2 linked regions of the Solanum lycopersicum genome follow. Each later gene encodes a partner of the first gene's protein in a complex. Links are inferred from orthologs where the notes say so. Each region holds a gene or a part of one and is shown on either strand. Other genes may lie near its edges.

Region 1 (3,516 bases):
GGCCCCTTGAAAGGAGACAGACTGACAATACAACATGTTGTTTCTTTCACGAGGCTTCACTTCCATTTTGATGCTTGCTTAGAAACATTAAATTTAGATCTCAGATATATAGCCAAAACACACTTTGAATAACGATCAAAGATTTTTTTTCAAAAAAGTATGAGCAAATGGGAATAACTTCAAATGGAACTCCCAAATTTAGAATGTCAGAATTAAGAATAACATGCAACGAGTGAGTAGAATATCTATTTTTATACAGACAGAAAATGTGTATACCTATCAGTCTCAAGGATGATGGAATTCTAAACTATCATAATAGTATATATTCAGTTCCAGTGACTTTCCTAAAGTTCAATAATAATTGTGGGCATGACGTAATAACATCAACAATTTCACTGTCTACTCTATCTTGAACAATTATGCATGAAATGTGAATCAGGCTTACCTTAATTGAAAGTTCTCTCTCTTCCCGCTTTCTATCTCGAAAATCATCTTCTCTCCTTCTCTTCAAATCATCCTGCAACAATGCGTTATTCTCTTCTGATCGCCGTCTCTCTCTCTCATCATGCCTTGGAGAAAGTCTTTGACTATGTCTGGCAGTTCCAAAACGTCTATCAGAATCGTCCTCTCTCCTGCCTGCACTAATGGATTGCGGGACCAGATGAGGAGGCAGTGGTGGAGGTGGAGGCAAATTTTGATTATGAAACCGATCATCTGTAAGAGATTTTTCTACAGATGCTTCATTATGTCGCAGCTTGCTCCTATCATCTTTGATCCTTTCATCCTTACTCAACCTATCAAAGTTCCTATCAGCAACTCTCTCATGTACTCTCTCAATTGAACGTTCTCTTCCATGCCGCTCCGTTGATCTATCTCTTGATTTTTCAAATGCATCATCACCGCGAGACCTATCAGGACGGTCCCCTCGCTCTCTGGGGTCTCTCTCAGGTCTTTCACCACCCTTTTCTTTTGATCTATCAAGAGGCTTTTCAGAGGCTCGGTTCAATATTTGATCATCAGATCCATGTTTATCATAATCTGCTGGATGAAGTTTATCTGCAGCTCGTGCATCTATTAACCATTCTTTCTCCGATGAACGAGCATCAGCACATTCAGTATCTCTACCGTCAATTTCACCTTTCCGGCGTTTGTTCAGTCTATCAAGCTCTTCTGCGGGAATAGATCTCTTCTGTACTTTTTCATTAGCTTTAGAAGCATCTTGTCTAGGCGAATGAACCAGACGCAATGTGGACTCCTTATGCACATCAGAACTTTCAGTGACATCATCTTTTCCAGCAGAAACCCTCAGATCAGCAGATTTAGTAGTTGTATGTTCAGCATTAGATTCGTTTGAAGGATCTAACAATCTCGTCAATGGAGCTGCACCTTTAGGTGCAGCAGAAAACATGCTACCGTTCCCTGAAACTGTAGTAGAAACATTAACACTCCCACTTGCTCTGCTCTCAGAAGGATAACTAACATCACCAGAAGCAGCTCCAGATGCTCTTCCAACAGTTTTCCCAGATTTTTCATCTTTTGCAATATCATGTTTTTGTTGCTTTGACAGAGATCCAACCGGAGTAGATCGCTTGCCTGTGCCTCTTCCCTACAGTAAAGGGTGAATATTTTTTAAGTTCAAACAAGTTAACAAAAGAGAACTGCTCAACTAAATAATGGAAGGATCCATCATCTGCAGAAAGATTCATCGAAAAGGAAAGCAAAGCTTCATAATACATATTACACACTAACAATTAGGGGTGGCAATAGGCGGGTTGAGTTGGGTAAAAAAAGAGTCTAACCCATTTCTTTGTATCTTCATTTTTTCAAAAAATCTCAAACATTATTAAAATTCATTTTCTGCTTAAAAGTTCCTGCTAAAAAAACTAAGAAAATATGAATTAATTAATGAGTCTATGACTCAAAACTCAAAAGGTCACTTAACTATGTTGATAGCACACTCAACCAGATATTTTAGATTTTCCACTGTCCAAATACCTATTTAACTACCTGAATTATCAATCTATGCTCTTTTTTGTACTTCTTAAATATTATGATACTTTCTGTTTCTAATTAACATTATGGACTTATCTATGCTGACGGTCTACCGGAAACAACCTATCTACCTCCAAAGGTCTATGTGCATTCTACCCTCTTCATAGTCCACTGGTGGGATTATACATGGTATATTGTTGTTGTGGTCTAATCTATAGGATAATTAATATATCTTATTTATAAAGTAAAGGTGATTATTTTTTTTTAACAAAAATCAAGCATATACAGTATTAATAAAATAATGGAGCATAGTAAAAAAATTACTAGATAATTTAGGAATAATTGAGCCACCATTGTCTCCTCACAAGTAGAACACGTGCTTCTTATTCAATGACTTTACTAAGCCATCTACTAGACTACTACACATTATGTATATGTCAGTGTTCTCAAAGGCGCTCTTAAGCTACAAGCATAGAACATGTCGAGCGCTTAGTCACACACACGCTTTATGGGCACTTCAGTGTCGTCATCAAAGCTCCGGGGCATAATTTTCCTTGCTAATGAGTGCAATCCTAAAGATGTGACACTAAACAACTGGTATTTCACATTATTGTTATATTTTTCAAAATTTCATTGTCCATATATTTATTATCCATGCTTACGATTATTAATCTCGGACTACATATACATAGTCGTAGTTTTCTTCAATTTGTATTTTTTTCAATTAAGCCCACAATTAATTTGCAATTAAATCCCCAAAGGATCTATGACCTTTTTTGCATGAACCGCTTTTTGACAACACCGATATAAGTTATACATTTGTTTCAAAAAAATTTAATCCCCCTCAAAAACAACAAAAAGAAGTTTGGTCCCACTAGATGCAGAGAATCACTATGATGAGATTGAGAGGATCAAACAGGTTGAACTGTTGAAGCAAGCATCTTCAATGACGATTTAGAAGTGTTGAAGTGCAGCAAGTTGAGGGATAACTGAAATAGGTTGTATGGAACACATATGTCGTGTCTGCAACTTACGAATTAAACCCATACATGGCAAGCCCATTTTCACCCATACAATTACGGGTTAAATATAGGTAGAAACCCACATTTTACCCATTTGAAATATCAAGCGGCCAAAATCTTGACATGATATTGAAAACAACTTATATGTAAACCCATGGTAAAGGTTGATTCGGGTCAATAATGAACCGAATAACCTGATTAAAATAACCCCGATGTATGTTTGGACCCACGCGTGGTGGATGGGACCATTGGGACATGTTAACATATGTGCATGGTGCAAGATGGAAACTATATTCAAGTGTTAAGTGGTTAAAGTATCAAAATGGAATGACGAAATCGAGTCCAATGCAGTGTCATGGCATCATATCGCATGCCTAATGCGAAGAACTTAAAGTTTTTAAGGGAGAGTTTCAGTAACTGATGTAAGGCCAAAAATGTATATTTTTAATCATTATTTGCCACATATTTAGTAATTTTATTTATCCTTTTTGTGCATTAATTT
Region 2 (4,041 bases), on another chromosome or scaffold:
AGTAACCAATAGACATAGGCTCTTATAGCATTACATTCTTTAAATTCCAACTCATTATTTCATACAGTACTTTGGCAGCTTATTGCTGGTGCAAAATAATATAAACTTACTACGGGCATCCCATAATCGAACTGTCTTGTCACCAGATGCTGTAGCTATCAATTCTGCATGTTTTGGATCCCAACATAACTGGTCCACACTGTCGGTGTGACCCTTTAATTCAACATCTTTTACCTTTCCCTGCAAAAGAGCTATCAGAGACTTGGAGTGTATGCAGACATAAGAGGTTCTATACTCCACCTCTCAAGAATGAGAAAAGACTAGAATATTGAAAACATAGATAGGGCGCAATCATTTTAGTGTAGTTTTATGGTGGCAAGCTATTAATTGTTCAGGTTTTTGCAAGCAAAGGCAAAATATACTACAATCTTCATGCAAGTTCCAAAGTTGAGGAACTTGGGATCTGTGACTATGAAACAAGATAAAAGTACATTTATAGTATTGATACAGAGCAACAGAAGCAAAATATCATTCAATCTTCATGCAAATTCCAAAGTTGAGGAACTTGGGATTTTTGCGACTATGAAACAAGATAAAAGTATGTTTATAGCCTTGATAAAGAGAAATGACAAATGATATAGAGTTATGGAGCACTCGATCTACTAACAAAGTAAAAATTTATCTGGTCTATGACCAAGTAAAAGATTTAATTGATAATAACAAGGCTATCTTGGTCATATAAAAGGAGTATACCACAAAAGGAGAAACCTACCAAACATGGTTCTCCAAAAGACACCTCAATCCTCTATACAAACAAAAATTACACCAAAAGAAAATAAGGGATCGGAGACTACTCCTCAATTGAGCAAAGCTAATCTCCAATTCTCCACCCTTTCAATAGCTCTCCTATTTCTCTCTTTCCAAATGACCCACATTACTGCAAGAGGAGTAACATTCACACCTTGTGTCTTCTTATCCTAACTCCACTCTTCCAACTGAACATCAACACTTCAACAGACATTTGGGATTGCCCAAGAAATATCAAACCATCTAAAGATATCCTACCATAACCTCGAGATGTTTTGCAATGTAGCAAAATATTGATCATGTCCTCTCCTGCCTCTTGACACAAGAAACAACAACTTATGCCCACCACCTTTCATTCCCTAAGATTCTTCACCGTCAATATCACCCCTTTAGTAGCTAACCACAAGAAGAAATACACCTTCTTCAGCACCTTAGGTGTCCATACCGAGTCATACAGAAAACTAACTTCCACCCTAACAGGAAGCTTTTATAGGACTTAATAGAGAACACTTTTTTATTCACCAACTCCCAACTCAAAGCATCAGGTCTATCTACTGGTTTGCATTGCTTATGGTATAAAACTAGAAAGCTTTGAAGATCGGTCATCTCCCAATTTCGGAAATCCCAGAAGGTCCCACCCCCTAATTTGCTGAACAGACAGCTCCCTTTGCCCAGAAATGCTATACAACACCAAGAAATCATTCTTTAACCAAATCACTGCACCACTTTTGACCCCCAAAAACTAGTCTCCTCCCAACCCCAAACTTAAAAGAAAATGTTTTTGTTAAAGGCTTCCCACCCCTTCATTATATTCTTCTACATGCCAAACTCGGAAGGTAACCACATTTGTTCTCCATCTTCCTTCCATAACTCCATATTTGTCCGCTATCACCCCTCCCATAAAGCTTCTTCCTCCATCTCGAATCTCCAAAGCCATTTATCCAAGAGGACTTTGTTAAAAACCTTCAAGTCTTTAACCCCAAGTCCTCACCACTGTTTAGGAGATGTCACGGTCTCCCGTCCCACTAGGTGAAACTTCTTTGTCCCATCCGCCGCATCCCAAATGTTCCTTTGCTACCTTTCCAGCTTTTCTATAACTCCACACCAAGTGCGTTGAGCTGGGACATGCGATATTTTACCATCCTGTACAACTCTGGAGCATTTCTGCATCTTTTTACCCATTCTCCCAATTCAAACCTCTCTGTGTATCTATAACATCGAATTCGTATGACCTCCCACAAGTGAGGTTACGCTTACTTTACCCCACCTTTGATAAGTAACAACAAAATTTAAACCTAACTGCAACAGGCATTACTATCATAGGTTCCTTAACTCATACCACATAGAACTAGACTTTGGCAGAAACAACTAAAGTGAGAGACCAGCTTCTTAACTCTAGAGAAAATCTCAGGTGCCTAAGTTCATGCATATATCATAAAAAGCTATCCTTTTTTCAGTTTATTTACAACACCCAGTTTCCCACCACTTCAGTAGAACATTTAAAAATCAGAGCAATAACAAAAAGCTATCCTTTTTTCAGCATTAAAACTTAACTGAAAACAAAAAAGATGAGCTCATGAAGCTTACATGACCATGAGGCTCAATTTGCCAAATACGAGCTGTTTGATCCACAGAACCTGAAGCTAATTTCGTGCCACTGCAGTTCCATGCCACCGAATGCACCTTTAATTTTTTTTAAAAAAACAGAGAAGATAAAGTATCACATAGTCAATTCATCTAATCAGAGAGTTCATAAAAAGGAAAAGCAAAATTAGGGTTGTATTGTTAACAATGAAGTGAAGGAATAGTTTTAGAGAGAGAAACCTTCTTCTTGTGTCCCTGGTACTCTCTGCTATGAAGATTTTTGAAGGGTATTGTTTCCGCCATTACTCTTCTGCTTGTTTGCTCCGTTTACTTCTCTGAATATTTTTTTTGCTTGTGTAGAAGACGAACAAAACGACACACAATATTGTCGTTTCATGCCAACCCTGTTTAGAAAATGATAGACTAGTCCTTTAAGTTTGAGAATGGTCTAAAATAGTCCTTTATACTGTCGAAATTGAGCATTTTTGGTAATTAACACATGGTCGCTAGTAGTTATTTTTGTTGAAACTGCCTCATGAGAAATAGGTGAGCCCTCTTTTAAACAGAAAAAAAAAATCATCTAAACGGGAATTTCAAGGTTTAAATTTAAACGAGTTACATATTTTGTGTTATAACAATGATCAAGAGCTAGAAGTGTTCAACTTTAATAAATTATTTTGGTGTATAACATTTAAGATCCATTGATTTACCGTAATTATAATTCTTTTGTTATAAAGAAACAATTCATATATTTTATAGAAATAATAATATAAATGGTGGAAATTAATCTTTGATATTTTTTTCATCTAATAATTGTGAAGGAATTAATCGTAGAAATATTTATTGTACATGTTTGTGTGTACTGGCATATATTTACTTTTTTAACAATATTTTATTTTTTCACAAGCATAAGTCAAAGTGTTCATCAAAATGATATCTTTTATATTATTTATTTATTTGGTCTATTAATTGAAAAATACATATAACAAAATATTAGTACCTATCAAATAATTGTCAAAACTGTACAATTATGACTTTTGAGCAAGACAACATTTTCAATAATTTTAAATTTAATTCAAAAGTTTGAACAAATAATACTTCTTATTTCCCACTTTTTCTGGAGATTAATTGATGTGATTGGGGATTAGATATAAAATAAAATAAGTAGCTTGCCCATCTATTCAAAAAAGCAATTTAAAGAATATAAGAAATATTAAAATAAAAAGGTTCAATCAACTTCCTAAATACGTGGAGAAAGTCCAATCTCATCCATTTAAGAGTACTATTAGAGATAATTCTACTTTTATTCCCTCAATTATTCATAATTTTAGTCATTGTGATATTTGATTAAGTATATTTAATTTGTAATGAATTAAAAGTGGGTTTTTTAGATTATATTTGAGTAATAATATAAAACTAGTATGATATTTTGATAGCGAATAATTTAACACAATTATTCATGATATGTTTCAAAGGACATATAATTGAAAAAATTAAATACTTCATGCAATTAATCGAAAATATTCATCAGTTTATTCAAATATTATAATTATAAAATAATTTTAAAAAAATTCATTAGTGTTAATCTTAAAGTTTTAGCTGAGCTATAGTCTCTTTTGACAGAATTCAAAGAAATTACAGTTAAAAATA

The links.
Region 2: THO complex subunit 2 (region 1) and THO complex subunit 3 share a complex: the UniProt entries of both Arabidopsis thaliana proteins name them as parts of the THO complex. The link is inferred for Solanum lycopersicum from reciprocal best matches to the Arabidopsis thaliana genes THO2 and TEX1.

What each region holds. Positions count from the first base shown.
Region 1 is NC_090804.1:20,333,497-20,337,012, forward strand, and holds part of THO complex subunit 2, read right to left. Parts: intron 1,607-3,516; coding exon 446-1,606; intron 1-445. UniProt on the Arabidopsis thaliana protein: Acts as a component of the THO subcomplex of the TREX complex which is thought to couple mRNA transcription, processing and nuclear export.
Region 2 is NC_090806.1:70,055,556-70,059,596, forward strand, and holds the start of THO complex subunit 3, read right to left. Parts: upstream 2,812-4,041; 5' UTR 2,695-2,811; coding exon 2,632-2,694; intron 2,491-2,631; coding exon 2,395-2,490; intron 241-2,394; coding exon 111-240; intron 1-110. UniProt on the Arabidopsis thaliana protein: Acts as a component of the THO subcomplex of the TREX complex which is thought to couple mRNA transcription, processing and nuclear export. Contributes to the integrity of the endogenous trans-acting small interfering RNA (ta-siRNA) pathway.